Linked DNA regions of Schizosaccharomyces pombe. Changing the gene in region 1 together with any one later gene gives a genetic interaction. Each region holds a gene or a part of one and is shown on either strand. Other genes may lie near its edges.

Region 1 (7,199 bases):
GTTGATGGTGAGCATTAGCATGAGCATTTGCAGTACTGGGGCCTTCACTATAAACACATCGAATTTTTCGTTCCGATATATTAGCCTTGCTGACTTGAGTCCACTATTAAAGTATTGGTTAGAACATCAATTATGTATGGCATGTATTAAAAAAGTAAATGTAAGTATATCTTTTATCACATACAATATCTGCTATATCCATTCCCTGTAATTCTGGCTTCAATTCAGTGCTCTGGACCAAAAATTTATCGCGGCATTTTGTGCCAGGAGCCGGTTCGTGATCTAGAGGCTGTAGGATAACTATTAAAAAAAAAGAAGTTAGTAAATGAAAATTTACAGCAATAACTAATGAGCACAAATTATCTTCCAGTGCACGCACAAAAACAATAAAAACTGTTAGTTTGCAAAAGAAAATCACGTTGATGACAACGTTTTTGTTCCACCCGACAACATCAATGATGGGAACCGCTTAAACGAATAAAATCAAAAAATGCAAATGAGGTTCAAAATTAAATATAAATTATCTTACCTTCAACACTTACAGCCGAATTGGCTTCAATTCGACCACCGTTGGGTCTCACACAGTACTGTTTAGGAGCAGTAGTTTTCACTTTGAATCCGATCGGATAAGGTGCAGTATTGCGAAGTTCTAAATCACATTTTACTAGTCGTGTAAGTGGTCGAGGAAACACAATTGTACTATCACATTCAAGAGCCATGATTTACGGGAAAGGCGAGTTTGTTGCGAGAGGTGGTACTACTTTACTCTGCGAAGTACCATTTCGCAGTGTAGCCAAAAATCGTGGCTTTACGTCACACATACTTGTGTGTGATTTTCCGAGGCTGAGCAAAGATTATGGTAATATATGGATACTGAAATAAAAGGAGATAATTATTCAAGTAACTGTTTTCATCGATATTATACAAAGCCTTATAACGATATTATTAAAATAAATGTGATATTTTGAAAGTAAAAAGTAATATATGCTAAAAAATATTTTGCAGTAGGTGAATAATGTACGAATGCAGTATGGTTATAAAATCCCAATAAGTATATGGATTTATTGTTTGTGAAATTAATAAATGATATAAATACCCAAAAAGGATGATTCAAGTTATCCTTTTTAATTTCTAAATGTCATGTTAATGCGTTTGAATTGTCTTAATTACAACTTAAGAATGCAAGGATGAAGTAAACATTATGATTTCAAAAAAAAATTGCGCATTCGTTTACACTTTCTATTCAAAGGAAATACGTTTTTTGGTTTAGACAATCATTAAATAGATATTGTATACTTTCGTTAATGGTCATTATGCTAGGGAAAAATCAACATTTTTATTTCAAGGAATATCAGCGATGCTTTAGAAAGCATACCATGTATAAAGGAAACGAATTACTCGAGTGGATGCCAACTACAGGATCACGAAAGTCAGTAATCATTTTCAATCATCGGTCTGCGGATGTCGTGCAATATATACAATCATTTATTCTTCTAATTCATAGCGTAATCGGTGGTAACTACAATTATTTTGTTTCATTTGACCTGTCATTTCTATTTCAATGACCAACAAATTTATAATGCTCTCAACTGCGATGTTTGGTAATACGATATTGTAGATATTAGCACGTTAGATGTTGAGTCGATGGAACGTAGGGCTATTTTTGAGCGTCATTGTAATTTGCCTTTTGCAACTACAAACTCTACACAAAAATGGTTTTGAAATGTTTGGAATGCGATAAATTGCTTTCCTCCATCGAAATGGCTGAATTTCATAGTACCAAAACCAGTCATGATCAATTTGAGGAAACTGAAGAAGAGGTATGTATAGATTTTACTCCTTTTACTTTTTGCTGAATGGTTGAAGCGTTCGAATTGTTAACCATCCTTATTATTATAATTCACGAAAACAATAATTTGTTTCACTCGATCCTTTCTTTTTATTAACAACGATTATAAAACATAGATTAAGAAGCGTTCTCCCGAAGAGTTAAAACAAGCTATTGAAGCTTTAAGAGAGAAAGCAAAGGAGAAAAAGGAAAAAGAAAGGATTTTGGCTCTGGAAGAGAAGAAGACAAATTATAAAATCCTTCAAAAATCCAATGATGAAACTGCACAGGCTATGAGAAAGATGCAGGATCAAGCCCGCTTACGTGACTTGCAAAAGATCCGTCAACAAAAGGCTGAAGATGCTGAGCAGCGTAAGAAAATCCTCGCAGAAATTGAACGCGATAAAAAACGACGAGCTGCAGAACGGGAAAATAAGAATTCTTCTGTAAAAGAAACGGCTGCTCCCATCAAGCAGCCTAAAAATGCCAATTCGTCTTCTACTTGTACTCGCACCCCTCCTACATCAGGCAGATTTTCTATCCGACACGATGGTCAAGTTTGTAATATAACTATTGCAGCTGAGGAGACGCTACGCCAATTGGCACAACAGGTCGCTGAGAAAATGAACGTGTCACCGCCAACTAAGTTTACCACTACCTTTCCCCGTGCCTCATACGGCACTGATGTATTTGATAAACCGGTTAACCAACTTGGTAAGTATCAAACTAGTGTTTACTGTCATCATGTGTGACATTAGAATACATGTTTTTGAAAGAATATTGTGTTGCTACTAGCATCTAAACGACATATCTTTGTTTCCTCTGAAAACTTTGAACTATAGACATGGAATATATTATTAACGCTTGCATAGATTTGTTTCCCTCAGCCGTTCTTATTCCGCAATGGTAAAGTTATGACCTTTTGATAATTATGCTGTGTTAATAATGATTACGATACTTGATAAACTGGTAGAAGATATATATATCAAGGAAGATGGTGCTGAACGCGCCAAGTATCCAAGGCAGGTTAGCATATGTGTAGTTTAAGTAATCGGAGGCGGGAAATACGAGAATGCTGAAAGCGTATGAAGTGTTTCCTACAGAGGCCAACACAAAAAAGATAATGGATAATCCTTCGGTAGACTTTGCTTTGTGATTCTTGATGATTTGAGGAATACGAGCACAGAAGTATAACACAGAACTGATACAACCGGCAGTAAACGGCCATGCATTCAAGTCATCATCACTCTTGTCAGAAGAGGCACTAGAAATAATTAAGTTTCCAACGATTGTCGAGACAATAACCACACATCCCATTACACCAAATTGTTGACGGGTAGAAAGGCGATCCCACCAAATTTGTTGTTTACCAATGGGTGCATGAAGACCTTCTTCTAATGAACGACTTTGGAGTAAGGGTTCGTGTTCACGACTGGCAATACGACGGGCAGCTTTCCAACGATAGTAGTAAATTTGCATAAGTAGGGTACTGTCAGAGACAATGTAATAAAATGAGAGAACCAATACAGTAGAAGAGACATTTCCGTAAATGGAACCAAGTACATTGAAGAAATCGCCAATAAGCCAGATGATTAAAAATAAATCAGAGATACTTTCACCAGACTGGTTTTTATAATTTTCAAGTAATTGAGGGATCAGTAAAACGACCCAACATCCCAGGGATAATGCTCCTAAAAATGAAGACAACTCCGTGAGTATGTTAGCCATATCAAAAGAAGGAGCTATCACAGACATGGGACAAAAATGCTTGCGAACAGATAATTTTAAAATGAATTTGAGAAGAGCTTGTCTAAGCTTTTTATGGTCAAAGTTTTTTATATGAGTGTGGAGGACAATAAATAAAAAGAACGGGAAACAAAGGGCTACAAAAGCGAAGCAACCTGAAAGGGAAATCAAACTATTAATTTAATAGGAATGATAAGCAATTATTAAAATTTGTCAACTTCCTCGAACGTGTAATGCTTCAGCACTATAATATTCGCTGATTTATTTTAGCGATCCAAGAGATGATACTTAATGAAAATTCGTTACAAGTATTTTTTTTTGTTTTAAAAAATAAACACTAAAAGGAATATCTATAATAATAATAATAACAATGGTAAACAATATTTCTCCCACTGTAAAGAAACAGAAGAGATTTGGTGGTGAGTTTGGCTCTGGATAAGATCAACCTCCCAGCCGTCCTGTTATTTATTTACCTCGGGCAAGGCTATATAGAGATTTCAAGATAAGAAAAATTTGCCGCCCATGCAGTTTCGCAGAATTAAGAAAGTGTCCGTGGATTTACAGATACAATTGATAGTCAATCCAAAGGTATCATTCTAAAGAAATATAAAGGAATAGTAAGCGAAATAGATTTTCCTTCGAATAATCCTATTTCACTTAACAATATAATTCTCAATGTAAATAACAGTCGCATTAATTTTATCAATGTCAAGCTAACTCGTTTTTGTTATAAAATTTAATACACCATAATATCGCTAGCAGTATTAAACATTGAAATGTTTACGTGACTTGTTTGATTCTCAGATTATTTGCAGTAAAAGATGTGCTAATTCCATGATTTAATTTCGAGACTATAAAACTCTATAAAAATTTCTTACAAATTGGGATTTTTATTTTTTTTTCTAAACAAGGGTAATGAAAAGTCATGAACGATTCATTTCGTATATTAAAATATTAAAAATAATAATAATAAAAAAACGCTGAAAAAACTTTTATTTCTAAACTCACCAAAAGGACCCGAATAGTATATCTATCCATTAGTTTAGAAATATTTTATTAAATCTTTTTTTTTTATACCAAGTAGAAAACAAAACAAAGATTGCTGTCTGGTTGTATCGCATATGTCAGCATATTAGAAAATCCATTTTCTATTAACGAAGTCTAATTGGTGATGATGGCCGGTTTCTGAATTAGTCTCCCTAAGTACACCGTTTGGTACTTTCCACGAACGTACCATTTCCTCATTAATTTTCCTTGTAAAGGAGTAAAAATTATCCACATTCATAAGTTTTAACGTTATACTTAAACAAAATGGGCATTTTCGGTGGAAATAGTGGAAATGCACCTTCTTCTGAAGACAAAAAATCCATTTTCATGAAACAAATTCGTCAGGAACTTGCTGTTGCTCAAGCTGGCGAATTGATAAGTGTATGCTCCATTCATTTTTTATGTTTTATTGAATGTTTTAACTAATCGGTTTATCTAGAAAATCAATGAGAACTGTTTTGATAAATGTATCCCGGAGCCTGGTTCCACATTCGATCCCAATGAAAAGGTATGAGAACTATTAAAATACTTTTATTCTAACTAGACAAAAGTCTTGCGTTTCCAAATGTATGGAACGCTATATGGATGCTTGGAACATTGTTTCTCGAACCTATATCTCTCGTATGCAACGAGAGCAGAAAAATCTCAACTGAATAATAATGATTTTTTTTTCTATCATTTTGTTTTACTCTCCTATGATATGTGTCTTGTTGTATAGTTGTGAAGTGACGGCAAAGCTTAATATGCAACGTAGAAATTTTTCTTTTCAACGTAGCTCACGCGCTTTCTCTCTAATAATTATAAACTTTCAGCAATTAAAATTCGTTTCATGTTCTTTTCCTAATCATGCTAAACACTTACAAGTGTTGTTATACTACTGGGTAAAATACTTATAATTGTTTCTTTGACATGTAGCATTTAAGTATTATTGTGTAAATAACAGTTTAAATATTTTCATAATAAAGAACGATCACCGGAAAAACTAGAAAAACTAGAGATTCATTAAATTTCCTTATTCTTATCATTTACCTTGATTCTTTTGTTTTTGTTTAACTGATTCAACAAACTCCTTAACATTTAACTGACACACCACTTCACTGCAAAGTTGTTTTCGGTTACCCTTGGGTACGTTTGATAAGATCTCTAATCCGCTTGCTCGTTCCACAACCTCAACGGGAACTGCAAAGTTCTTTAACGGAAAGTTGTCAGCAATAGGTTTGTTGGGAAGAACGAATGCAGCTACTGATGGACTTGAGGTAGGCTCTCCTGATTTTTCTGCAATGATTACTTTAAAAAAATGAGTAGGAACTGCGACGTTGGGAGGATTGCCAATTACTCGATACTGAACTTCCCATTGTCCACGTTCATTTTTTTTAGGTAAATACAGCGGTCCCGTCATTATGGTAACTGAGCCGTATTTACTTGTAAGGCGTCGACACCAATCTTCAAAGTATGCCCAATCTAATTGTTATAGTTAGTAACTAGTCAAATTTATTAATGTATTAAAAGAAAAAGTCTCGTTAAGTTTTTGCTTACAGTTTCTATTGAAACCATCTCCCACTTGTGGACACATATTAGAAAGATAGAAAGTTTCGTTCATTGCTTCCTGACTAAATTTACAATCTGCTGCAGGTACTTGATGACCACGATCATAACCGCTTCCTCTGTAATCTCCTAACTTTGCTTGAAACATTTCAGGAATATTATCATCTGGAACGAACTCAGAGTACCTGCGATTGCCTTTGCGTTGGTTCAACGATTCTTGTGTAATGGTTTCCGCTGTCTAGTTTATTATTAATATAATGCACTCCGAGAGACCAGAAATTTAAACATTTAATCTATTGCCGTGATCTATAATTCCTAGGTAAAGAAAGCTTAGGAAACGGTGTTTTTGCTTACATAGAATGGATTTCGTGTTCTCCGATCGAACACAGACATATAGCCATGGTTTACCCTTTGGTCTGCCACTGGTCCTGGTATGCCGTATTGAAAAAATTTGGTGGCATTAAAATCATATATAGATTCTAAGGCTCGACCAGCAGAGTCAAATTTGGTATACCTGGGTGTCAAGTCTGGTACATCGGATCCTTGATATCCTTTATAATAAAAATGCGTGAAAGTTACACCCGAGATCGCTCCAATTGCTATTAATCCAAAAGATTTGATAAGATTACTAGACATATCGTCGATTGGGAATTAAAAGAAGTGGGAGTGTAGGTAAAGAGAAGATTGGAATATTCACTGCGTGTGAGTTTTTAAATAATTGGGAGTTATCGTTATGGCCAAGAAGAATATTAAAAATATATTGTTAAACATTAATTTTACGAGGTTTCTGAAGTAAGAAAAATTTAACTCTTTACGATTAATAATACAACATTAAATATAAAAGTCAATTAAGTGATTCATTTGTGGATGTTTAGAATGTATAATTCCAAATTCACGCTTATTATCAAGAAAAAGTGTTAGTAAATCTATTAATTTTAAAAATATATAATTCCAATTTTAGGAAACAACAGTATGTTAAAAAAAAAACGACTTTTTGACAGGGACTATTAATTTAAGAAAAACATCTACAGAG
Region 2 (7,962 bases), on another chromosome or scaffold:
CTTCATTTCATCAAGATCATTCTTTATTTAATAAAACACATGCGCGAATTAATTGCTGTGATTGCGACAAACGAAACAGCGAAATCAAGAATATTCGCTCTGTAGTCCAATTCCAATCGCTTTAAAGACTTTTTAACAAAATAATAAAATTGTTCAAACAAATTTCCAACTAATTCCTTCAAACAATGGCATAAAAAAAGAAGAACGAAAAAACTGAACGAGGCAGTGAATTGCTTCTGACACATTTATTTTGTCACTGCCCTTTTTATTCACCCCAACTTAGCTTTCCTTAAACGTTTTTGAGAAGCAAACGTTGTAGTATAATATAATGTCAGCTACGCAGTTTGGTATCTGGTTTAACGAAACATAGCACTGCGGTGAAATTTCCTTGTGACCTATGATATTACGATACACAGGTAGTAGGTATTGTACTATTAAGTTGTATTGTTACCTATCACAAATACAGCTTACAATTGTGTGAGGAGTGAGGTTCAGTTGGGATTCTAATTATATTGTTCAAATAATATAGATCTTAATGCTATTTCCATCAAAATTTATCTCAATATCGTATCATCGGTAATACAATATACCAAAAGAACATGTGACATATAGTGATACGTAACGAATCCTATTATAACGTAGAATAGCGTCAAACTTTAGGGAAGCGTAACATGTTGCAGTATTGTAAGTAACGTGTAAAGCATTATTGGTTTTGCTAAATGTATCACAGTATTTTGCGGTATTTGTGTTGGTCGTGCTTACACGCATAACGCAGCGTTTACCCTTTACTTAGCACCATATCATTGTGTGTGGTTTATTACTAGGAGTCTCAAAAAATGGTAAGAAGGTCTCATGCTATCGTGTTGATTTTAACAAAGGGTAGGTCGTCCTGGCAGTAAGTATTGTGAATCGTGGGGGAAAAGGTATGAAAAGTAGTTTAGCTATTAACAAGGACTTGAGGCTTACAGTAAATTTGTTTAGCCATCATCTCGAGACAATTTCGTGAGATGTCTCGTGTAAGAGTAGAAAGCCTTTTGTCTTCCTTCCCCGCTCTCGTTTCGGAAAAGTCTCAAAATACCACGGTGGAGTCTGACAACGTCAGGTTCGTATACCAACCGTTGGACGAACTGTATATCGTGTTGATCACCAATTTACAATCTAATATTTTGCAAGACATTGATACATTACATCTCCTCTCTCAAGTGGTAACATCGATTTGTTCGTCGCTTGAAGAACGAGAGATTCTGGAATATGCATTTGAAATCTTTACTGCGTTTGACGAAGCTACCAGCCTTGGCTACAGAGACAATGTATCTTTGACACAGATCAAAACTTATTTGGAAATGGAGAGTCACGAAGAGAAAATTCAAGAAATTGTATCAAGAGTACGTGTTGAAGCATAGGGGTGGAGTCATCGAAATTTTTTTTGTATGGTTTTACTAATGCACTTTCTAGAACAAAGAAATTGAAGCAACTGAAGAAAGGAAGCGCCGCATCAAACAACTTGAATTACAAAAGAAAGAAGCTGCAAGACGGGCGGCTCAGAATCTTCCCAGTGCAGATGCGTATGAATCCATTGGGTATCAAACAGTTAATACAACCTTTGCTACGTCTAATGTTGAAGACGAATCTGCCATGGAGTCTTATCACGCTGCAGCAAAGGCTTCTTCTGCTCCCAAAGCGAAAGGAATGCAACTTGGAAAGAAGAAGAATACTAGCTTGTTATATTAATTTACTATTCCAGCGCCCTTTATGATCATTGCATCCGTTTTGGTTCGTTTCCCCTTTGTAATGTGCTTTTCCTACGATCATATGCGATAACTAGAAATAATAATCATTTTTCTATCCCAAATTAAACATCGTAATCAAGAGTCGACCATTACCAACTGTAATAGAACACTTTGTTCCTTTCATACCCTCCAGAATACTTCCTAGTCTATCCAATCGAAAAAAGCAGAGCAAACCTATATTGATTCATCACTCAACTAATATACCCGCTACCCTTTAGGAATGCTTCCTCTTGTTTCTAGGTAAACAATATTAGAACAGAGAAATCGTCATATAATATAACCCATTTATTCAAGTATATAATCTGGTTAAGACTTTTAACCCATCGTTCTATAAACCTCGTCAACAACAACAAAAAACCAAATTAGAAATCTATTTAAAAAGTAAAGCAGATTGGCAAACAAAGAAAAAGCATTCTATTTTTGAAAATAAAGTGTCCGATGAGAAAAGCGTGAAATTCTAATGAGAGTAAACCAGCAAAGCGAGGTACGATGAACTGGTAATGAAAAATAAAAAAAGGTAATAATTAATTGCTTTAGCATTCAATAATTAACAACAAAGTCAAAATTCCTCCAACAGAATTCTCAATAATAGAAAGACATGCGGCAACGGCGGAAGGATAAAAGGGCGTAACGAATAAATGGAGAAACCTAAAAGAAATTAAAAAAAAAAAATAAAAATATAATGAATATATGACCATGACCCTGGGATGCTATTAAAATTTATAAAATTGACCACGCTGAAGGATTTTAAATGTGACTGAAAGAGAACTTTTGGAAGACAACGACTCTAACTGCTCCAATATAACATCGGCAGGATTCGCCGACTGAAGAGGATGTGATTTCAAATGAGTGAGCAAACACGTAAGGGTAGGCATGATAACGCCATAACTCTGGACCAGAGATTGGAGTATACAAAGCTCGTTCACTAGATGTCTAGGGCAAAAATGACCAAACAAAAGAGTATCAGGGATGTCAGGAGTGGAGCATTCGATAAGAATATGAGAAAGCTTTCTTTGAGCAATTAAACTAGAGCAAGCTCTCCAAATATGAATGTTAAGCGGTTCTGAGGCTACCATATCGGGTTCGACGTCCCCGAAAGCCAAAAAGTATCTGTCGGATAGGTTATTCCTAAATAAAAATGCAGACGACTTTAGCTCTTGACCGAAAGAGGAGCCATGATTAACGGGAAAGGGCAATATAGACAAAGTAGTCGTTAAACTAGTATACATGGAAGGCTCAACCCTAAAAAGAGGTTAGTCTCATTGTCAAATGAGAAAGAGAAATGCCGATGGGGTTGATTTAGCAAATTCGCATAAGAGTTAAATTCATTAACTTGTTTGAACAAGAACAAAAGATATTAGAACAGTGAAAGAAAAAGAGATATAATTATTATTGCAATCTTTGCAATCTTTCAAATAATATCACTGTCTCACAAAAAAAATTGCACAAGTACCATGAAACCATGCAAATCAACCAAAGCGTCAGCAGATAGTTTACATATATGCAAAATATATAAATGTGTGTTCAGCAAATAGATTTGAAGGAAAAAAAGACGAGCATACATCTCTTCAACTAAGATGAAGAAAATAAAAAATTTTCAAAACTCAACATTGCCTTCCCAACCCTCAACCTATTCACTAAAACAATGAAAAAATTTTCATTTGACAGAAGCTATTGAGAAAGAATTTACTTACACCTGAAAATTAATAAATCCGGCTTTGTCGAGGGAAGGCCATAATAAGTTATTAAACACGTGCTTTTTTAGGGTATCGATCACATAGTTTAACCCAACTATGGTTCTAGGATTTTGAGGACCAAACATGGCGCTATTGATGACGGCTCCATAGATGTGGTCTAAATGACAGTGTGTGATGAGAAACGTTTTAATCCTTTGCTCTGAAAGGTGCCAGGCTTTTGCGTATGATTCATTTTCCACCGTATAATTGTCATACTTGGTGATGGAAGACCAAGAATCGACGGACAGGTGTTTTGACTGGATCAACTCAACCAACGCCGATAGGTGGCTTCCACCATCCAGCGATATAATTTCTTGAAATGCGCCATCAGAAATCAAATGACTGCTACAGCAAGACTCCAATGGACCCCCCTAATAAGTCAGCATGGCTCTCAATGCATAATGTTTGAATTCTTACATTTTGTCCCTGTTTTCGTTAACGTTAGTCGAAATTCTTCAAAAAAAAAAATATTTTTCGTTTTTCATACCAATGAATATAATGTAAAAGAATTTTCTACGAGTCCTACTACTTGATCGGTTTGAAATTCAGCTTCTTTGATTTCGAGTGCTGCATGCATGGCTAGGCTTATGGAGAGTTACAGATCTCCGGTGCATGCACTAGTCTACAAAAACATGTCGGTTGACGTCATATTTATTACAAGCATACATTTACTACCGTAGATTTAGGGTACGATAAACGATGCTCGAAATGTGGAGAAACTCGGGGTATAGTGTAGTGTGTTAATTATCCTTATTCATGTGCCCGCTTGGTGAAGAAGTATGCTATGAATAAATAAAAGGATGGAAGTCGTTAAGTGGAGAGGAACGAAGTTATGCTTTGCTGCTTTAAGTAAGATATTAAGAAAAAAAATGCGACTTTGATGAAACACGTTTGACATGTATCACTTCCTTATGAGAGCAATTTTTCCGAAGGTTCAATATACACCCTTAAAGAATGTCACGTAACGAGAAGAGAGAGAGCTATTTTTTATATAATTCCAGAGGTTTCCTTTTTTTATCGTTTAACATTTCTGAGGGGAAGTTTTGTTGCTTGTTTAACAATGTCGGCAGAAGTTTATGCCCTTCTCTTTAAGAGACCGACTAGCAAACAATTGTAAACTATCGGACACTAATATGTTTTTTAAAATAATAATTCATTATACATACAAAAAACTGAACCTCGTGTAATATAGATTTCCGTATGAACTTGGTTCTTTATCGGACTTTGAGGATTCGTAAGTCCCAGTCATTTTATCTGATTATGCTAAACTAACTCTTACTTTTTCATAGAGTACTTAGATAGTTCCAGTCAGTGCTGCTGAGAACCAGTTTGCATCAGTTAGGGAGGGTGGTAATCGTTGTAAGAGCTTTCAAAATATGATCTCCTTTTCCTTTATGCAAGATAATCAAAAGAAACATTCCTAAATTACCTATTTGAAGAATCTTTTGTATGTGCCGCTGAAATTGCTTTCCATTGAACTTTTTGTTGGTCTATGGAGAGAAATCATCATAGGTGCATAGCAGCCTTTAGGTAGATATTTTAATTAGCAATATATCCCAATTTTCCCTTTGATAATGATCGGTCTTTTTTCAATTAAGTCTATACCTAAAGGCATATTGGAAACTTGCTATAAAAGTTTGAAATAGAAACAATTCTCAGAATATTACTTGAATACGTTCTCTGTTTTACTCCCTTTTTTTTTTACTCACAAAGAATGTCACACTGCAGTATCGAATTGCTTTATTTGTTCCTTTGGAATAAAAAGGTAGATTTCCTTTTATTACAGCAAAAGATAACAAGACTAATAATTAAGCGGCTTTGTTTTTACCAGGAATTGCATTTTATGACACTACGCAAAATTAGAAATGTAAAAAAGCGCTTTCGAAAATTTCCTTTTACACTTTCATTATCAGGATTGACAACCCTATGAATTCCTCCGTTAAAACTTCTCACCAGCGGAATTCGATGAAGGTTGATGTTAACAGTATAGACTCAATAGCAACATTATACGAAAAATCATAATAAATTGTGAATAACCTTTTATTAATTGAGCGAATAAACATAGAGTAAATTTAATTAAGATTAATAATTATAACTAATTTTGAAGAAATTATTATAAAGAAAATAAATACATTGAACATCAACACATCCCCTTCAATTCATATACAAAGTGCATTTCTCGATTTTAGGACTAACTTGAAACACAACGCACAAACATTTCCACAACTTGATCTTTGGTTTTGGCGTGAAGGTTGTTAGTGCTAAGCTATACATTACTCCTTATACTTCATCGGTAGCAGGCATGGAGTGCATTTGATAAGCTTGATTGTTGGATGATGATGGACTGAAAACATTACCAGCCGCATCATACGAGGTACCATCAAAATTTATTGGAGGTGACCTATTTTTCGATTTGTCGGGTCTATTTGTATCGCCCTGCGTTGTTGTACCCGCTGAAGACTCACTAGCTGCATCCCAACTAATAGTTGGCTGCGATGTAGAATACGACGGAGGAGGAGCCAAGCTTCCAACCGCAGGAGCGAGTCTCCATTTCTTGATGTTTGCTTCAATAAATACATATCCTGCTTGTCCAAGATTGACATGTAAGGTACAAGGTCCAATTGCACCAACCGTAGGATACAAATTTCGATATGTACACGGCAGTTCTGCACACCGACGACCGTTACGTGTAAAGAAGATCCGATTGCACTTCGGTTTGTAACCAACACCAATTACATCTCCCTGCTGGTAGAAAGAGGAGTACGGTTTTCCCGTAAATGGTGAATTACTGCGGCGTGTTCCATCCGACACATAAGCAGTAGACCAAAAATTCCAACCAGGCAATCGAAACGGCGGATATGGCTTGGTAGCCAGACCGATGGAAACCAAGGTATCAATAGGTACGTCTAAAAGTTTTACTTCAAAATAGTATACTTCATTGATCCTCTGCAAAGGCAAATTGGTTTGCATGCAACATTCTTCGTTGCCCAAAAAAGACAATTCAGTTTTATTTTTAACATAGCAATTATATTCCTGATTTGGGATAAAGTGCCATGCTAATACGCCCTTCTCTTGAACTTGTAGGAAGTCAAGCAGCTTTGCATCCGTGTTGACGTTAGATTTCATGGAATTCAACTCAAACTCACGAGCTTGTAAATACCGTTCTTTCCCCATATCATCCAATAAACTAAATCCTTCTTCATCAATATGTTCATTCTCTAACGCTTCGTCGTCCAACTCACCAGGATTGGTGTTTTTCAGCAAGATCCGTCCATGTCGTGTGTATCGCAGTAATAAGATGACTGACAAAAGACAGATTAAAAGAACAATGACAGCGGCTAATGCAATAAATATGAAAAGGATTGCTAAATTAGGATGGGTGTTTGAAGATTCCTGTAATCTCAACTGGCGAATCTGATCGGGATGCATGACTCAAAGACGCAAAAAATAATTTTTTATATAAGATTTGAAAAAGGAAAATCTGCGAGTGTATATTTAATAGAGAAATAAATAACTGAGAGTAAAATCCTAGCTATAAGAGGATATAGTATAGGGTTAAGAGAAAAAGGATTTTTCTCTCAGATATGCAGTTTATTAAGCACGAGATACAATATTTAAATCTAACGTAGATGCAAGTATCTCAAATATTGCACTAATATGGTTTTTGCGAATGCTCAAGGATTGGGCGAAATGGTATACTTGTTTCAAGTTTACAGGAGAAAATACAAACTCCTTTAAATAAATAAGATATAATTCTTAAGATAAAAAAGAATTTATTCCTGAAGGAGCCACAATGGCCTGTTGTAAGGTAAAATCGAAAATCAGCGGCAATTTACCAGATAATACTGCTCCGTCACAATTATGCTTATAAGTTTTCTGTTTTTACAACCATAGATTGGAATTAACCAAATTTTTATTCGAAAATTTACTTTGATTCGTTCAATGTTTGCTTCCGGATTTCAGATGGTAATGGGAAAAGGAAGGTTACGAAGCACCACGTAAAGGCCACATGGATACTACTCCGTCCATTAACCAACAACACCTACCATGTCAGGGTCTCGAAAACAAGAAGCAATAGACGAATTAAGGAACTCTCTTGATGTTCCTGCTGATACTGCTCAATCTGTTTTGGAATCATTTAATTGGGACGTTCAGGTATGTGACACGGCAAGCATTCATTTTCAGTATTCGATAGTGATCAATTGCTTTGATTGAAAAATTCCAAGAAAGTTGTTATTTGCAACTGAACATTCATGGAATCCTCTGGTTGTCGTTTATTTTTCTAATCGAATTTTCGGTGAATGTTGGGACTGAGCCATTTTGCTAACTGTTTTATGATTAGGAAGCGATCGAGAGTTTAACTGGAGAATCGTCAAGAGTCGATAGAAATTCAAAGCTTGGATTAAGTTTCGGCGTCTTTCAATCTGTTTTTTCTT
Region 3 (6,587 bases), 2.5 Mb from region 1:
GTGATATCTTCAAGACATACAGGCGAATCTTCATGTGAATTAATCGCAACCTCATTTTTTGAGTCGTGCTTGTCTAAACAAAGAAACGGAACGTTGACGGTTTCGTGAATATCGGAGAAAGTAATAAGCGGTTTGCTGATTTGGTTCTCATAATTAACGCTTGAAGAATCTTTATCTAACTTTAACTTTTCGGCATTGCTTTCTTCTTTCTTTGGAGTATTATTATCAATAATTACCACCGGAACTAGTCTGTTCGTGTTATCACTAGGCTCACTTGACGAAGATGCTTGAGTTTGAGTGGTTCTAAAATTATCTCGAGAAGAAAATTGGGATTCTTTTAATTTTTTGTTCCCTCTACTGCGTGAATTTGAATTCGATTTCATAGCTCCTTTGTTCTTTTTAAGCACAACATTGCTCTTTCGCTTTACAAACCTAGTTATCGGATACTTTTGAACATCATTTCTCTGTACATTGTCTTGATTTGATACCATAAATTAGGGGAATGTTTTAAGTTGACAGATTTGTCGACTAATAGTTTCAGTAGTTTGTTATACGTGAAAAACCAATATAGTATACCAAAAAGTAGAAAAAATAGTAAAAAAAGCTTTTACGTTTTTTGGATGAATTATATTCAATTTTAGTAACCTTCGATTGACTCAAATATAACTTAGTTGTGTTTCAGACAACACTACGAGGTGCATGCCTGATGTGTTGATCCTACCATCAGCCACTATACCATGGTTTACCTGCAAACTGTGAATGAGTTCTTCACACAGTCAAAATCATTAACGGAGGCTTATCCAAAAACGGTATGGTGTTGATGATATCTTTGATAATCAAACTCTGACTTTTTTCATTTAGACCAAACTTAGTATCAAATATCGCACGAATGAGCAGAGTCAAAATTATTTAATCGCGAAAGCCTTTGAAAGTGCTTCTGGAATATGTCTAAAATATAGGACTGACAAGGCGGCTGAACTTGGCAGATTACTTCTAATTGCAAACAAACTTAGTTATGTCTCCACAGGTAACGAAATTCCTCCTGAACCAGGTATGTATTATTAGTATATCAATTGTTTTTGCATTGTTATAAAAAGAAGCGCTTGGAAGGAAGATGTTTTCCTTTAAAAGTAGTTATTAATGTAACTATGCTCTTCTAATTTTTACGTTTCGCTAACAGTCATGTTATATAGAACAAGAGGTAGTGGCTTCTCCGGTTACAGAGCAAAAGAAAGCGGAGCCTTCCGCTCCTCCTAAGGGTTCAAAGAAAAAAAAAAGGGGGAAGAAGAAATGAGTGTAGCACTTGGCGTGTTTTTTTTTTTCATTTTGTTCATTTAGTGTCACGTTAGATATCTTAGGATCGGATTAATTCTTTACTTTTATCTTACAATAGCAATTCTCTCGGTTTATCAATAAAGGTAAAAAGGATAATTTGCAGTGTAAGTCAGTCGTTCTGTACTTTCTTATTCGACCAACATGAATAATGGCCCCTTCTTTCTTAATATCATTTTTTATTTGCAAATGCTATACATAATCAAAAGGATGCATTCGCATTGGTATTACCGATGTGATTGGTTATAAAAGTATAACAAGCATGTGTATTCATTTACAGGTATTTCAAGTGCTAAAATATAATATTTCCTTTATGCACAGTTGGTAACATATTATTTAGTACAAAAATCTTTATTCGGTGAATTTCATTATTCATTCGCTAGGACAGATCGTTTAGACAAGGATGAAAAGTTTTACTGCATTAGCAAATAAGTAAAAAAAGTTGATGTTTCTGCTTTTAAAATATCGTTTGTTTACAGTTACCGATTGCACAAAAACTAGTTTACTACAGTGTGAACTTCATATTCAATATACAAGCAATTTTCCTTTTAAAGTTTGCTAGAGCAACTTTTTTAATATGGATATGTATAGACACAACTTCATTTTCACCTTAATAGTATCTTTATTTAAGTTTATCACATTTTGTTTACCATTTTGTTCATAAACCAATTTATGTAGGTTGAGAGAATTAGCATCATAGTTCAAAAATTCTTATTATGTTAATCTATGATTGATCTAAACAAAATTATTATCATCAATTATCTCCAAAGCTATTGAGTAAACGTTTTTGTTTAATTATGAGAAATATATTACTGCCTGCTTAATTTCCACCTTCCAGTGCTGTGGGCATTAACACCAAAAAATCGGCAACTCAACAATTATTTGAGCATTAGGAGTGCCTTTCTTTATTTATTATTGGGATACTCAGGGGCTTAATTTTTTATTTTTTAGCAACGGATTGGTTTTCTTTTGATCCTTTATTATTAGCCTACAAATATATTTGTTAAATTACAGCCTTTTTTTTACCTTACCTATGGGCTTACTGGAATTCTAACAGAAGCTAAAAGATACTTTCATTTTCTTTCAAAAGCATAATTGATTGCTTTATAGGTAATCTTGTTGGACAATCTGAAGTGTTTTCTATTCAGATTACTGTTTGCTACTACTATAAGTGTTCTCGTGTTCCTTCAATCACTGTTATTGATCCAAGATATTTGGACATTTGATGCTAAATCTTATTTACATGTAATTTTGTTTGTAGTAAGAAGTTGAAAACGTTCAGTTTTAACAATTTTTTTATGTTTAGGCATTTGGTACGAAAAGTTTTGTCCTTCCATTTATCTTTTTAATCCCCTCTTTATTTAACTTAAACACTTTCAGGGATTCTACATGCCTAACTCAACTGCCCAATATCCGGAAAAGGATTCATGGGAATTCTTAGTCAAATCTGGAATTGCTGGTGGTACAGCTGGATGCGTTGCAAAATCAGTAGTTGCCCCATTAGATAGAGTGAAAATCCTTTACCAAACCAATCACGCTTCTTATCGAGGGTATGCTTATTCACGGCATGGGCTTTATAAGGCTATCAAACACATTTACCACGTCTATGGCTTACACGGTCTTTATCAAGGCCACACTGCTACTTTATACAGAGTCTTCCCTTATGCGGGCATTAAATTTGTTGCATACGAACAAGTACGGCGTGTTTTAATTCGTGACCCTGAACATGAAACACATGCTCGGCGATTTTTATCAGGATCACTTGCCGGAACTTGCTCTGTTTTTTTTACATACCCGTTAGAGCTGATTCGTGTTCGTTTAGCCTACATAACCAATACAGGGAAGAATCCTACCCTAACTCAAGTTACAAAAGATATATTTCACGAACGTGATTTTTTGTGCAATAAGAAGTATCCTGGGTTATCCCGTTTGTCAAAAATCTGTAATTTTTATCGTGGATTTTCTGTTACGTTAACTGGAATCTTTCCATATGCTGGTATGTCGTTTCTTGCCTACGATCTTGCAACTGATTTTTTTCATAAACAAAAAATTGACGAATGGGTTTCTACAAAAAAGTCAGATAAAAAACTTAAAACTTGGCCCGAACTACTTTGTGGAGCATTTGCAGGAGTTTGTGGTCAAACGGTTTCTTACCCATTCGAAGTTTGTCGACGAAAAATGCAAATTGGTGGTATCAGAAAAAATAAATCATTTCTTAGACTTAAGCAGGTAGTACAAACTACTTACAAAGAAGCCGGTATGAGAGGTTTTTTCGTTGGACTTACCATAGGTTACATTAAGGTTATCCCAATGGTAAGCACTAGCTTTTTTGTTTACAATCACAGCAAAGCGCTTTTAGGGATAGATTGAGACTGCAGACATAGTTTTCTATGAAAAAAATTATCCCTTTTTTAAAAATTTATAAAAAAAGATCTACGGGATTATAGGTGTATGATATATTCATTAGTTGCAGATTGTTACATCGTGACCATGCAATGAAAGAGATGTATTTTATTAAAACGGAACAAGAAATAGCAACCCAAAGTCAAATAACACGTTTTTTCTAAGTCCACAACTCTGAATTGAATAATTTGCTATCATACTAGCAGCCAAAACTAGATGTGCAAATGGTTCAAAGGGAAAATGAAGTACTTAAAGATAGCTGCTAATAATTGTGTTAAATGAAAAAACAATTATTGAAATGAAAAGAAAGAGATGAAACAAAAGACAGGAACGGTGCATTCACCAAACAGCTCAAATATTCTGCAATAATACTTGCTAACATATAACACAACATTTAGTTGAAACCTCATCTTCGGTTTTACTGTTATTTACAGCGCTAGCTCTTTTAGCAGTTGAAGCTGGAACTTGGGCAGTCTGGACGGCCTGCTTATTCTGAAAACCTTTTTCTTCTGATTTGTTATAGCGACGGATCGTGCGAACCAAACTATAAAAAGCTTCTTCTACATTTAACCTTAGCTTCGCCGAAGTTTCAACATATAAACAATGCATGCTTTTTGCAAGTTGTTCGCCTTCAGCTCTTGAAACTACACGTTCAGCTTCAAGGTCGCATTTATTAGCCACTAAAACGACTGGAAATGTATCCTTATCCTTAACTCTAAGGATTTGTTGATAAAATGTAGAAATTTCGTCAAAAGAGGACCGAGAGGTAATATTATAAACTAATAAAAAACCCTCTCCGGTTCTCATATATTGTTCACGCATAGCGGAATATTCCTCTTGACCGGCCGTGTCCAATACATCTAAAAGCGCACCTTCACCATCAATTTCACACTTTTTCCGATATGAATCTTCGATTGTAGGATCGTATTCGTCAACAAAATGCGATTGAATTAATTGAATTGTCAAAGCACTTTTACCAACACCACCATCTCCTACAACTACCAATTTGTACTCTCTTAAGTAGGTAGACTATAAATATTATCGTTGATTAGTTTGTTGTAATCAATAAAAGATAACCCCAAGTCATTGCTTAGACTTACCCTCATATTCACTATTTTATAAAGCACACTAAGTTTAATCGTATATTTCTTTAGGTTGCTTTTAAAACAAAATACAAAAAGTGTGTAGGCTTGGTAATTAAAAAATATTGGTTGGTCTTAAGCTCGTTAAAATGTGTTTGGCAGTTTTCAAGTAATGCAGTCAACAATTACTGATGGCAAACCGACAAGCTAGTAATAAAGAAATTCAGAAGTTATAATTTTTTAAAGGTATCTGGTGCAATAAAAACGAAATATTAATGTTAACAGCTAATTATGTTAAATCCATCAATAAACATTTGATCTTCTATTAAAATACCAAAAATTCTGCCATTTGTATTTGACAGATATATTGCATTAGTGCTTTGTCTACCTTTAAAAGCATACGAAGTATTGTTTGAAGAATTCCCTATTCAGCCCAACTTAACCAAATTAGCAGCAAATTTAAGTATTGCTTTTGAACTTTCTATACTGAACATTAAATATTTCTTTATTAAAATTAAAAAGCTTCTAAAAATTTTGCTCAAGTGTTCGCAATACATGCATGAAGAGGTCGGCACCATATATTATTTTGTATATGTTAAACTCCTTTCATGCGTTTTATCGACCGTGGAAAGAGATACGATAGTGGAGATTTTCATTCAAAAACATTTTCGTTTGCTATAAATATACAATGAGACATTGATAATTGCATATAGTCTTAAAATTACATTCTAGCGGCAAAAACAGAATTGATAGAAAACGTTAAGGATGTAGTTTCTCAAGATTTTCAATAATACTTTTTAGATCTTGAACAGAAATATCAAGCTTTGTACCCTCATGACCACCATTTACAATTTCATTCAATATAGGTTCACGTAAACCAAGGATGCTCTCAATCAAAGAGCCATCAATTAAATCAGATGGACTGGTCTCATTTTCACCTCGATACTCTTTCCATTCCTTATGACTCAAGCCTCCAAACGAAGGTATAACTTTTCTAATGTTATCCTGCAGCTGTAGTAACAAAGGAGTATTAGACATTCCGGCATCACCCACAATCATGAGGCTGCCGTCAACTGTTGCGCATAACAACTGTGGTGTGACAAGGGATTTATCCTGTGGTTCTATAAATGTGCAGTGCCTAGTTTTATTTATCAATTCACCAAGATAGAACTTTTTGTACCAACGTAACTTTTTTCTATCGGACAATTGAGGAGAGACATTGTCTCTCAAAAGAATCACTGCGTTGCCATCTGCTTCAGTTACAAAGTACTTTCTTTCTGACAAAATTTCAACGGATGTTGCCCACAATGGATGATAGTCTCTGGCAACTTCTATTAGTTGATCATCAATAAATTGTAGAACGGTAATAGACTTCATTAAATCTGCTGCGATGATTTCGTCCTGATTAACGGAAATGTCGATCGTATAAGTAGGTGTCCTAATAGAATTCCTTACGTGCATAGTACCGTGTTCATATTCGAAAATACAGACACTGGCATTAATGCCGGCGACTATCAAATGTTTATACAGAACTAAAGTGTTCACAGATCCCTGGACCTTATGTTCAGCTTGCATTTCGATATTATTATCGGAAGTCATCTCAAAGACCATTAAACGGCCTGAATCTGGGGCATCTTGATCTGGAAAGTTGAAACCTGTGCCCACAACCACACGTTTATCATCATTCATTAAAATGATACTTTCAACCATTTCATATTCATTAAACTTATGATGAGCAATCTCACTTAAAGTGTTTTTTTCGTAAACTCT
Region 4 (8,990 bases), 2.0 Mb from region 1:
TCTTCCTTCTTTGTTAAATTCGTCAGAAAAAACCAAATTGTATTTACGACCGTTGTACCCGGTTCTGTGATACGCTGTAGAGGGCGTATCCTTGTCAATCAGGTTCGTGCGCGGAACACGCATGTGCGCAAACAAATGGTCAGTTATTTGATTAGCCATTATCGCATCAAACTTTTCTTTACTCGGAGTAATATTTCCAGTGAATGTCAAAGCAGGAAAAACTATGAATAATAATCCTATCCCAAGGGAAAGGACGAACAGAAAGAAAAGATCGCAAAAACGTGACCAACCCAAATAATCTTCTTCCCCCATTAAACTAACAACTGATGATTTTGGATCATGAAAGTCATCATCCTCTTCCTTAGATCGATAAACCCAACTTAAATCAATACTACTAAATTGAGATGGGCTTAAAAAAGATTTCTCCCTCATTTTCCAAACATCAGAACCCACTCTGCTTCTCGGTACTCCTAAATGTTGATGATCTTGGTTATAAAAAGGAGGATAGCGACTCAGTTCTTGAACATGAATGAGAGATCGAGAAAGTTCTTTGTTTGCTAAAGGTACATCGTCCTTACGAAGTAAACAACTAATCTGAGGCAATGGAGAAGTGCTTGAAGATCCAGAAGTTTGCTCTGAAACATTTAAAGAAGATCCATAGCTAGAAGGAAAGCTATCTTGATCAAATGTCAAAAATGGGTTTTGAGCAACTCTCTCTGGCTGCCTAGGTAAGTCGCTATGACCTTTTTCCATGAGAATATATATTAATCAAGATATAAATATGAGAAGATTATTTTTTAAAGGAAAGATGGAAAGAAGATTAAAAGAAAGAAAGAACCCCAGAAAAGAATGAACGATTGCCAACCACTAATAAGAGAAAGAACAAAAGAATGGGAGTTTTAATATTTAAAATAAAAAAGGAAGATGTTTTCTTGATATAAAATTCCACTCCTCATATCAGTTTGGGACTTTCTTTTTACTCATAGCTGCGCAATAATGTTATGGCATAACTATGACCGGAACGACGATTGCACACTACTTAGGTCATTGATTTTATATGCAAAGGACTTCATAAAATAGAAGGAAAAAAATATTCTTATTTGATTATTTTTGATTTCCGTTGCTCCTGAGCAACGGCACGTTTGTAGCGGTCCACGAAATCCGGGTGGCCTATGAGAGCGTTTAATGGTGTAGCATCTCCATTTGTAAACAACTTCAATGCTTTTTCTAGTTTTTCACTTTCCTGCATTTGAATGTTTTCTATGCTCATTACCCGAGCTAATTGAATAGACCCTTGAATAGCACGAAAATTGCAGTATGCTCTATAACAAAGATAAAAACCCGGAATATTTGGTATTAGAGGTATGAGAATGAAAGGTATAGTCAATGGTAATCCAATAATATTACCAATAAGGTAATTTGTATGGGTCTTTTGTAATTGTTTGGACCGATTCAACTCAGCTAAAATAGTACTTGATTCCAAATTTGGAGGATGTTCAATATACAAAGTTTGGTGTAATTCTGTATCATTTAGCTTCTTAACAGGAGCAATCGCCCTTAAAAAATTTTCTTCATAAGGAGTTGCATGCAAAATTCGGTTTCCCAAAGACACAACCTTTTGTTTGGTATAGCTTTTTGAAGCACTCCAGGAGTCCCAATACTTGTAAATTCTGTTTATAATTTTGTCGTGAATAGTAACTTTTTTGGCAAGGTATTCAGAAGGATAACAATGTAAGAATACCCTTTGATTTGGCAAAGGAAGTGCAATAATTCTCATAATTAGTTAACGAATGTACTTAATTGTTTTTACAAAATAAATATTGAAATAAATAAACCTGCAGTAACACAAAGATGGGTGGATATACTAAAGTAGAAGCTAAAAGTGGGTAACGAATATCTATGTAGTAGTATTACTATCTAATTTAATCAAATTGATACGTATACAGAACAGTGCGGCTTTTTATTATACATGGCAGAAATACACGTGTTCAATAGCTTTTTTGATTAGTAAATTAATATATTAAAGAAAAGATACTGAAAGTCGGTAAAAAGTATCAGTCTCTGGTGCCAACAAAGAGAGACAACAATTTTGATGATTCAGTGAAATAGTCTATACAAGTAGTCTAACAATTAAAAACTAAATACTAAAACAAAAGCGATTAAATCATGTATCCACTCAAAGTCTCTTAGTACTCAAACGGATTTTCTACGACCCTCATAAATAGCAGCATTAAGTGATAGCAATAGTTCTGAAAGCAGAGATAGATGTTCGAATCAAAACTGGAGATCTACTTTCTCAATCTTAAGACTATGTTCAACAGAAAGTATTCAATAACTTTAAAAGCATTCGCCAGCAGCATCGTTTAAAGTAAAAAATTAAATGCAAATTGATATTCGCAAAAATGACAAAATATTTATATCAACTAGAACTGTATAACTTGGTCATCTTAAAGAGATTATTTAATAGCAATCTGTGAACGTTCTGAGACAACTGAAAAGGAGATCGATCCTTTTCCTTACAGACAAATCGGTGATTTCAGATTCCAGCAGCCAATGTATATATTGGAAAAATATTTTTAAAGAACATGTGTAATAAACTCCGGACAATATTAAAAAAAAAAAATAAACGAATGTAAAAGAAGCGATTCTTACAAGGAGGCTTCAGAACTCTCTAGACATATGCAGACAGTAAGAGGTCTTCTGTTAACATATGAATAATGGTAGGGTAAATTTTATCTTCAAATTAAAATTAAAACATTCCCGCTTCTTTCAGACTGTGTTGTAGAATTGTTTCCTTAACGGCAGAAAAGACAACCTTTATGTTAGATGTGTCTACAGCGGTGGTAATGTGAGGATATATATTATGCTTAGCCCGATTTATAGAAGGGTTCACAAATAACCAAAGAATATACCGGGTAATACTTTTAACAGAATTTTTACCTTCATATTGGGGGAAGTAATCCTGGAACGGAACATGTTCCAGTTTCTTCCGAAACAAATCAAATTTGTTCAAAAACAGAATGATAGAAGAATGCATAAACCACTGACTGTTTATAATAGAGTCGAATAAAGAAATACTTTCAACCAAACGATTGCGTTCTGGGGCGGCTCTTTCATAAAGCTTTTTATCATAATCATTTAAGGAAACACAAAATATGATTGAATTCACATTTTCAAAACAATAAATCCATTTCCTTCGTTCGGTTCTTTGACCACCAACGTCGAACATTCGAATTTGCAAATGATCCAATGTGAACGATATTTCCGAAATACCCAGAGTACTATTTCTAGACCGGAGAATGTCATCTATTGTAGGGACATAATGCCGACTGCAAATTTCATCGGCTCGCGAAAAAAAGTAAGGGGCAGAGTCAATGAGTACGGAATCATTTCCATATGTACAGGATCTAACACTATTGGCTGACCAAAGACTAGTAATAGCTTGGCCAATATTAGCATTAATAAGCTCACCAGGAGTTGGATTAAATTTTTCGATTATCTCGCAATTGTGGGTTCCTAAAGGGTCCAAGTTGATACCTTTTTGAACGATAATTTTAACAAGGGTTTTAGCAGATTCCAACAGGTTTCGTCGGATCACCGGAATAAATGTCATAATCTCTTCTTGACTAAACCCATTTTTGTTGAGAATTTTGATTTGCTTACTGATGGTACTTTTTCCACTATCGGAGGCACCTAGAAAACAATGGTTAGACTGACGATTGTAAGAAACAAAGGAAGGAAAATTTGCTATAGGAATCAAACAAAAAATCTGTGCTATGCAATGGAGAGAAACGGTAAGAGTGTAGAGCAACTGATTACAACATGCAACGACGACGAAAAGTGGTTAACTAGAAGAACGTTATCAAAGTCACCTTCACTGACTGAGTATTGAAGGGAAAGGGTAACCAAGAGTAGAGAACGTAGACGCAATTAGACAAACCATTTTCTGTCATTTCTTAAACAGTTTCTCTGTTTCGTAAATAGTTTCACTCATTTCGTTTCTTTATTTTTTTTCTCAATCTTTTCTGCTTTTTTGCTCGACTGCCCAAGCATATATAACTATTGAACAACAACAACAACATTGAGTAGTTTACGTACCTAAAAGCAACACTTTGTAAATCTTTTTATCCTTCTTCGAGGCATTTTCAATCTGCTTTTCGATTTTGCTGTTCAATTTTTTTGATTCACCGCTTTCAGATAATCCATTAAAAATCGTCATTTTTTTTTAATCCACTACTGCAGAATATAAATACGGGGATGTAGTAGGACACCAAACTTCTCAATCCGACAGCTAGCGGGTTTTTGGGATAAGATGGGAGAAATAAATATGAAACAAAGTAAGAAGGTTAAACGCAGGTAGGTAAGGTGTAGCAGCAGAGAGGCGAGGACTTTCCAAGAAAAGCCTTCAATCCAGTTCTTTTCCCAATTAAAGCAAAGATTAAATAATAAAATGGAAAGAGAGCAAGTTAGAAAGAAAAGTGAAACGCAAATAAATAAAAGTATTAAAAAAAAAGTTGAGGTAGCAAGTATGATTAAGTAGGAACAAGGGTGCGGGTGTCAAAAGGGGATATTACAGAATAGGAATCAATAATCAAAATATTGATTAGTCAGTCACTAAACTATACGCGCAAAGTTTGATTAACCCCCTTTATGGGCGACCTTTAAATCGCAATTTCAACTTTTTTTTGAGTTTCACCAGATGCCTCGAAAAGCAGGGGGTGGAGGAGAATGAGGAAGGATCGCAGGTCGGAAGCTAGCCGGCTAGCTAATTGACACAGTGAGTACGAGTGAATACCAAGGTTGATTAAGGCAAGAAGAAAAGGCTGAAATCAGTTGAAGAGATGCAGCGACAAATGAGAAACTCGTGAAAATTGATTTCTCGTCGTCTTTCGATGAACGAGAAAAAAATTAAGAATTGTACAAGGAAGAAAGAAGAATTAGAGGCAAAATATCTCAATTCTTACTACTGTCCAACTAACCGAGTGTACAATTAAATCCTTACTTTCAATTCACACTACCCTAAATCCAACAAGCAGCAGCAAAAGGGCAAGCGTTTTGATGCTTCAAACAGCTTAAGTAGCTAACAACTATGGTTAGATTGGTACCTGAGCGGTGATTTCGTCTATACTATTTCGAAAAAGACAGACGGCAACTCTGGTATAATTTGTATTTATGAGGCACTACGTCATGCATCATCCATTTACGATTTTAATTTTTCGAGTGGGGTAGAGAGGACAGTTCGGAAAATGTAACATTGGAAAAGGATCCAACACATACCACCAAACAAGCATCATTCAAGTAAAGAAGATTGGAGTGTAAGTCTTACTCTTCGATTATGACCTTGGGCGAGGGGAGCAGGCAGTAAGCTGAGACCTGTGTGAGCTTTGCATTCTATGTAAGTATCGCATAGAGAAGCGCCGCTCATCAAAATAGTTTTTTATGTTTTATGTTTATATGTCATTAACTGGTTGGTCCAGCATTTCTATACTACTAAACTATACTGCTCTATTACTACTCTAGTAACTCAATGAGTCGTCCCTTGTTTATGGCTGAAGATGCAAGCAATCGGGATAGCAAAGATGACCAAAGGAAGTGTTCCAAAAAACGCGCAATCTTTCCAAGCAATGTTTAATGAGTGTTTTCCCAATCTGAGTTTGTTCACTTTCATAATATTTTAAATTTTCAAGCCCCAATTTTACCAAGTTCAATTCCAGTTACGGAGACTTATTTACTCAGATATGAAAGTAAAGTGCACAAGGGATAAGGCAACTAACTTGATCGCAAAGCGTGGGCAGCTATCACAAAGCTAGAAAGAAACATATAAAAAATCCATAGACGATTGGGTACCAAGATGAAGCAAAGCATGTTTTCGCAACTGACCAGTTTTACCTGACAGTCGGAAAATTTTTCAGCTGTATAAAAAAAAGAAGACATGGGGACTTGCAAACAATCTAGAAAAAAGGGATTTTTGCGTATCTAGAACAAATGTTAAACATGAAATGGGGTCTTGAAACTGAATACAGCGAACTAGACATGCTTTTCGCCCCTCCCCCGCTTGGTCCATGAAAACATTACTAAGTATACCCTGCTACCATAACTCCTCTCCTATTTCTCATTGCTCGATAAATAGCACAAAGCAGCTTGACACTACAAACTACATTTCAACGCAAAAAAAATAAGGAGGACTTTGTTAAACTGCTCATCGTTCCTAATTTCATTCGGTTCCTTAAATTTAATGGGTAAGAATGGTAAGATATCCTGATGCCGTTACTTGCTGGTTACTTAGTCTTGGAGGTTCGGGAAGGACTGCATTTGCCCCGCTAAAATAAAATAATCTTCAGGTGAGATAGAATTAGCTAGGTTTCGTAATGTTTATGTGGTACTGAAGTCAATCCGTTGTTGTTCGTTCATTTATTCATTACATACTAATAAAAGCATGTACTAGTTATAAAAAAAAGTCTTCCAAGATATTCACATGTAGTGGGAGGGTTTTTATATTGTTTTGTTTTTTGATGGTTTTTTTTTTTTTATAAAGATGAAATTCTTATTTGCGTAAGTTTAATTTTTGCTTGATTATAGGTATCCTTGACAATTATTGAATATGTATCTTATATCTCTTATATATGTGTATCTTATATATCTTGCATATCTTGATATATCCCGATATATTGTGGAAACTAGTTTGCCGGATCTGTTTCATGTTGGTTTTAGGGCAATAATTTGAATTATGAGCAAGATGCGCTTCCCAGTTTAAAATAAAACTATGTTAATTTAATTCAAAAAATTATTATAAGAAAATAATTGAATAAATCAATCATTAGCTAAGTCAATATTAGAAGACAACGGAAAAAATATAGAGTAATCTTGTTTTTTCCTAATTTTTTTCTTTTGCCAGTTGGTTGAGAATATGTCCAATATCTATATTTACAGTGTGCAAAAAAGTGGATCATGAACAACCGACTTTCTGATTTTCTAATCTATTGTGAAAACGATGAAAGAAACTGTTTTTCCAGCTACTGTTCTTTCGCTGTGGCTTTTATTTCTTTTCAAGAGTTTTAGCTTTCTTATTTTTTGTTGTAAGCGTATAACCCAATGCTTACTCTCGTCCATAACCGCGTAACCGTATAACCTTCGACTTGATGACTACTACTTCTTATAACGAAGCTGTTGGCTTATCCAAAGGCCGTACGAAAATAAATAAAAAATCATCTTATAATTCCAAAAATTAGAAAATCTTCAAAAATTTATGCTTTTACCTCATATGCTCTTCCCAATAGTCTTCTAATACTCATTTCAACAATGAAAATGCATGCAAAAGTAATGTTAAGGCAAAGTTAGGTAACAAACGTTGATACCTAGTCATACGCGTTTACACTATACCACCCATGTTAGAGACGCCCGTTGATGCTCTGCCAAAACAATGTAAATGGCCGTTGAATGCACAACTAGCTTTTTAGTTTTATTTATTTAAACAGCAATTGTATCTTTTAGTATTGAAAATAACTGTTTGGTATCGTTTTGGAACATTTACTTAGGAGGATCTTTAGTGAAATTGAATTTTGGTACTCAGATACAATCTTTTGGATTTCGTTCAATGCGATATGGATGAAAATGGTGCAAGCTTCCAAGTCCTTTGCTTGGCAACTATTGGGTTGTAAGTATCTAACGTCCTCGTCTACACAATTTAGTAATCTTGGCTAACGTAGTTGCAGTCATCATTTACGAGGTCCTGAAATAGAACACCTATTTCCAGAATCTATGGATTTTCCCAAAGAATGGTCTATCTTACCTTTCCTTTCTCTTCCAGATGGTGCACACTCGGTATGTATATCTCATTAATTTAAAACGTACAGTGAAAATGGATGGATCAGTTTACAACCCGTTCTCTCCATTTTTTTCTCGAAAAATTGATAAATAATTGGCTAATGCAATTCCAGAGTGAAAAGGATTTCGTCTATTTTACACTTCCCTTTCCCAATGACGAAGGAACCGTGTTTGGTTTATCATGCACCAGACAACTTAACGCTAGCAGTTTAAAAAACATACCATCCGATGTCACACGTTCTAGTGTTCAAAAGGCAGTTGTAGTTATCACAACTTCTCCACCATTTGGACACATCAAAGATAATCTAGATATCGTAACAAATGCTTATTTTTCTCAAGGCGATTTTTCGAACTTAGATGTACTACGAGATTTTTTTCATGTACTCACTAGGAAGGAGCAAGATGTCCACATTGCTCTTAACATCAACTTGAAAAGTTTTTTGTGCGAATGGAGACAGAATGCTCTTGTTCTACTAAAAGTTCTCTTACTGGGAAAAAGGATTTTAGTGTACGATAAAAGCGCTGAGCGTCTTGGCAATTTTCAATATTCCCTCCTTTCTCTCATTCCCTGTATGATGTCTCACCTACAAGATGTCTCAAGTCCAAGCGCTCATTCGTTAGAAAAATCACTTCACAAACCTGCATCTTTACAGACTAGTGACAAACGATCGTTGCTTGCATACACAGGCTTTCCGCTCATTATTTTTGGTGAAGGAAGTATGTTTTCTCCTTATACACCGTTACAGCTGGTGCACGTGTTAGAAGCTAAGTCTTCTACCAGTTGGTTGGCTGGCACCACTAATACGCTTATAATGCTAAATCAGAATAAAATGGCTGAAGTTATAGTGCGGTCAGATACTCATCAAATTGAGTTTGTTGATCCTACCATTAAAAATTTAACGTCGCTCACATATACAGATAAAAGTTGGATGGAAGATATCATTTCACGGGTAGAAAGTTCATTGGAAATGGAACTACCTGGATTTGAGGGCAGTGACGATTGGATCAGAAATCAATTTGAATTGTACATATTTGGAATGCTAGCTACTGTCAAATATTATAACTTCCTAAAAAAACAAGACGATAGTATATTATCACAATATCACTACTTACCGTCAACATCATGCATTTCGGATTACGGTGAGACATTTCTATTAGAATGGATG

What was found.
Region 2: of stm1 (region 1) and cgs2, changing one suppresses a phenotype caused by changing the other (phenotypic suppression), as found in Schizosaccharomyces pombe (one study listed by BioGRID).
Region 3: of stm1 (region 1) and ras1, extra expression of one rescues a mutant of the other (dosage rescue), as found in Schizosaccharomyces pombe (one study listed by BioGRID).
Region 4: of stm1 (region 1) and gpa2, a mutation in one rescues a mutant of the other (synthetic rescue), as found in Schizosaccharomyces pombe (2 studies listed by BioGRID, with this or other methods).

What each region holds. Positions count from the first base shown.
Region 1 is NC_003424.3:4,479,193-4,486,391, forward strand, and holds stm1 (G-protein-coupled receptor Stm1), read right to left. Parts: upstream 4,008-7,199; 5' UTR 3,584-4,007; coding exon 2,768-3,583; 3' UTR 2,739-2,767; coding exon of another isoform or gene 2,701-2,738; 3' UTR 2,600-2,700; downstream 1-2,599. Other genes in the region: scs22 (VAMP/synaptobrevin-associated protein family protein), read right to left, coding at 1-103, 185-300, 530-719; SPOM_SPAC17C9.11C (zf-C2H2 type zinc finger protein/UBA domain protein), read left to right, coding at 1,713-1,820, 1,966-2,542, 2,701-2,738; TIM22 inner membrane protein import complex subunit Tim13, read left to right, coding at 4,886-5,002, 5,061-5,129, 5,173-5,274; endodeoxyribonuclease Pnu1, read right to left, coding at 5,643-6,082, 6,158-6,404, 6,521-6,802. UniProt on the Schizosaccharomyces pombe protein: Amino acid transporter that moves basic amino acids across the vacuolar membrane. Appears to function as an arginine/histidine antiporter.
Region 2 is NC_003421.2:1,808,529-1,816,490, forward strand, and holds cgs2 (dual-specifity cAMP/cGMP phosphodiesterase Cgs2), read right to left. Parts: upstream 4,116-7,962; 5' UTR 4,104-4,115; coding exon 4,014-4,103; exon of another isoform or gene 3,953-4,013; coding exon 3,944-3,952; exon of another isoform or gene 3,898-3,943; coding exon 3,485-3,897; exon of another isoform or gene 3,033-3,484; coding exon 2,504-3,032; 3' UTR 1,809-2,503; downstream 1-1,808. Other genes in the region: wtf antidote-like meiotic drive suppressor Wtf18, read right to left, coding at 1-6; coatomer delta subunit Ret2, read left to right, coding at 837-839, 884-923, 982-1,385, 1,456-1,731; SPRY domain membrane protein, specificity factor required for ubiquitination Ear1, read right to left, coding at 5,807-6,955; dsc5 (UBA/UAS domain-containing protein), read left to right, coding at 7,574-7,681, 7,869-7,962.
Region 3 is NC_003424.3:2,015,648-2,022,234, forward strand, and holds ras1 (GTPase Ras1), read right to left. Parts: upstream 4,985-6,587; 5' UTR 4,842-4,984; coding exon 4,836-4,841; exon of another isoform or gene 4,765-4,835; coding exon 4,111-4,764; 3' UTR 3,815-4,110; downstream 1-3,814. Other genes in the region: SPOM_SPAC17H9.06C (uncharacterized protein), read right to left, coding at 1-491; signal recognition particle subunit Srp21, read left to right, coding at 738-809, 862-1,051, 1,194-1,294; leu5 (coenzyme A transporter), read left to right, coding at 2,722-3,702; protein Ddb1, read right to left, coding at 5,577-6,587. UniProt on the Schizosaccharomyces pombe protein: Participates in the process of sexual differentiation and the determination of cell shape. Essential for mating and for recognition of the mating pheromone, but not for vegetative growth. Does not regulate the intracellular cAMP level.
Region 4 is NC_003424.3:2,514,097-2,523,086, forward strand, and holds gpa2 (heterotrimeric G protein alpha-2 subunit Gpa2), read right to left. Parts: upstream 5,144-8,990; 5' UTR 4,220-5,143; coding exon 4,099-4,219; intron 3,936-4,098; exon of another isoform or gene 3,694-3,935; coding exon 2,750-3,693; 3' UTR 1,957-2,749; downstream 1-1,956. Other genes in the region: SPOM_SPAC23H3.11C (glucosidase), read right to left, coding at 1-753; SPOM_SPAC23H3.12C (hydrogen/potassium transport protein), read right to left, coding at 1,097-1,777; avl9 (LAlv9 family protein), read left to right, coding at 7,602-7,654, 7,713-7,821, 7,938-8,990. UniProt on the Schizosaccharomyces pombe protein: Alpha subunit of the heterotrimeric guanine nucleotide-binding protein (G protein) involved in glucose-induced cAMP signaling.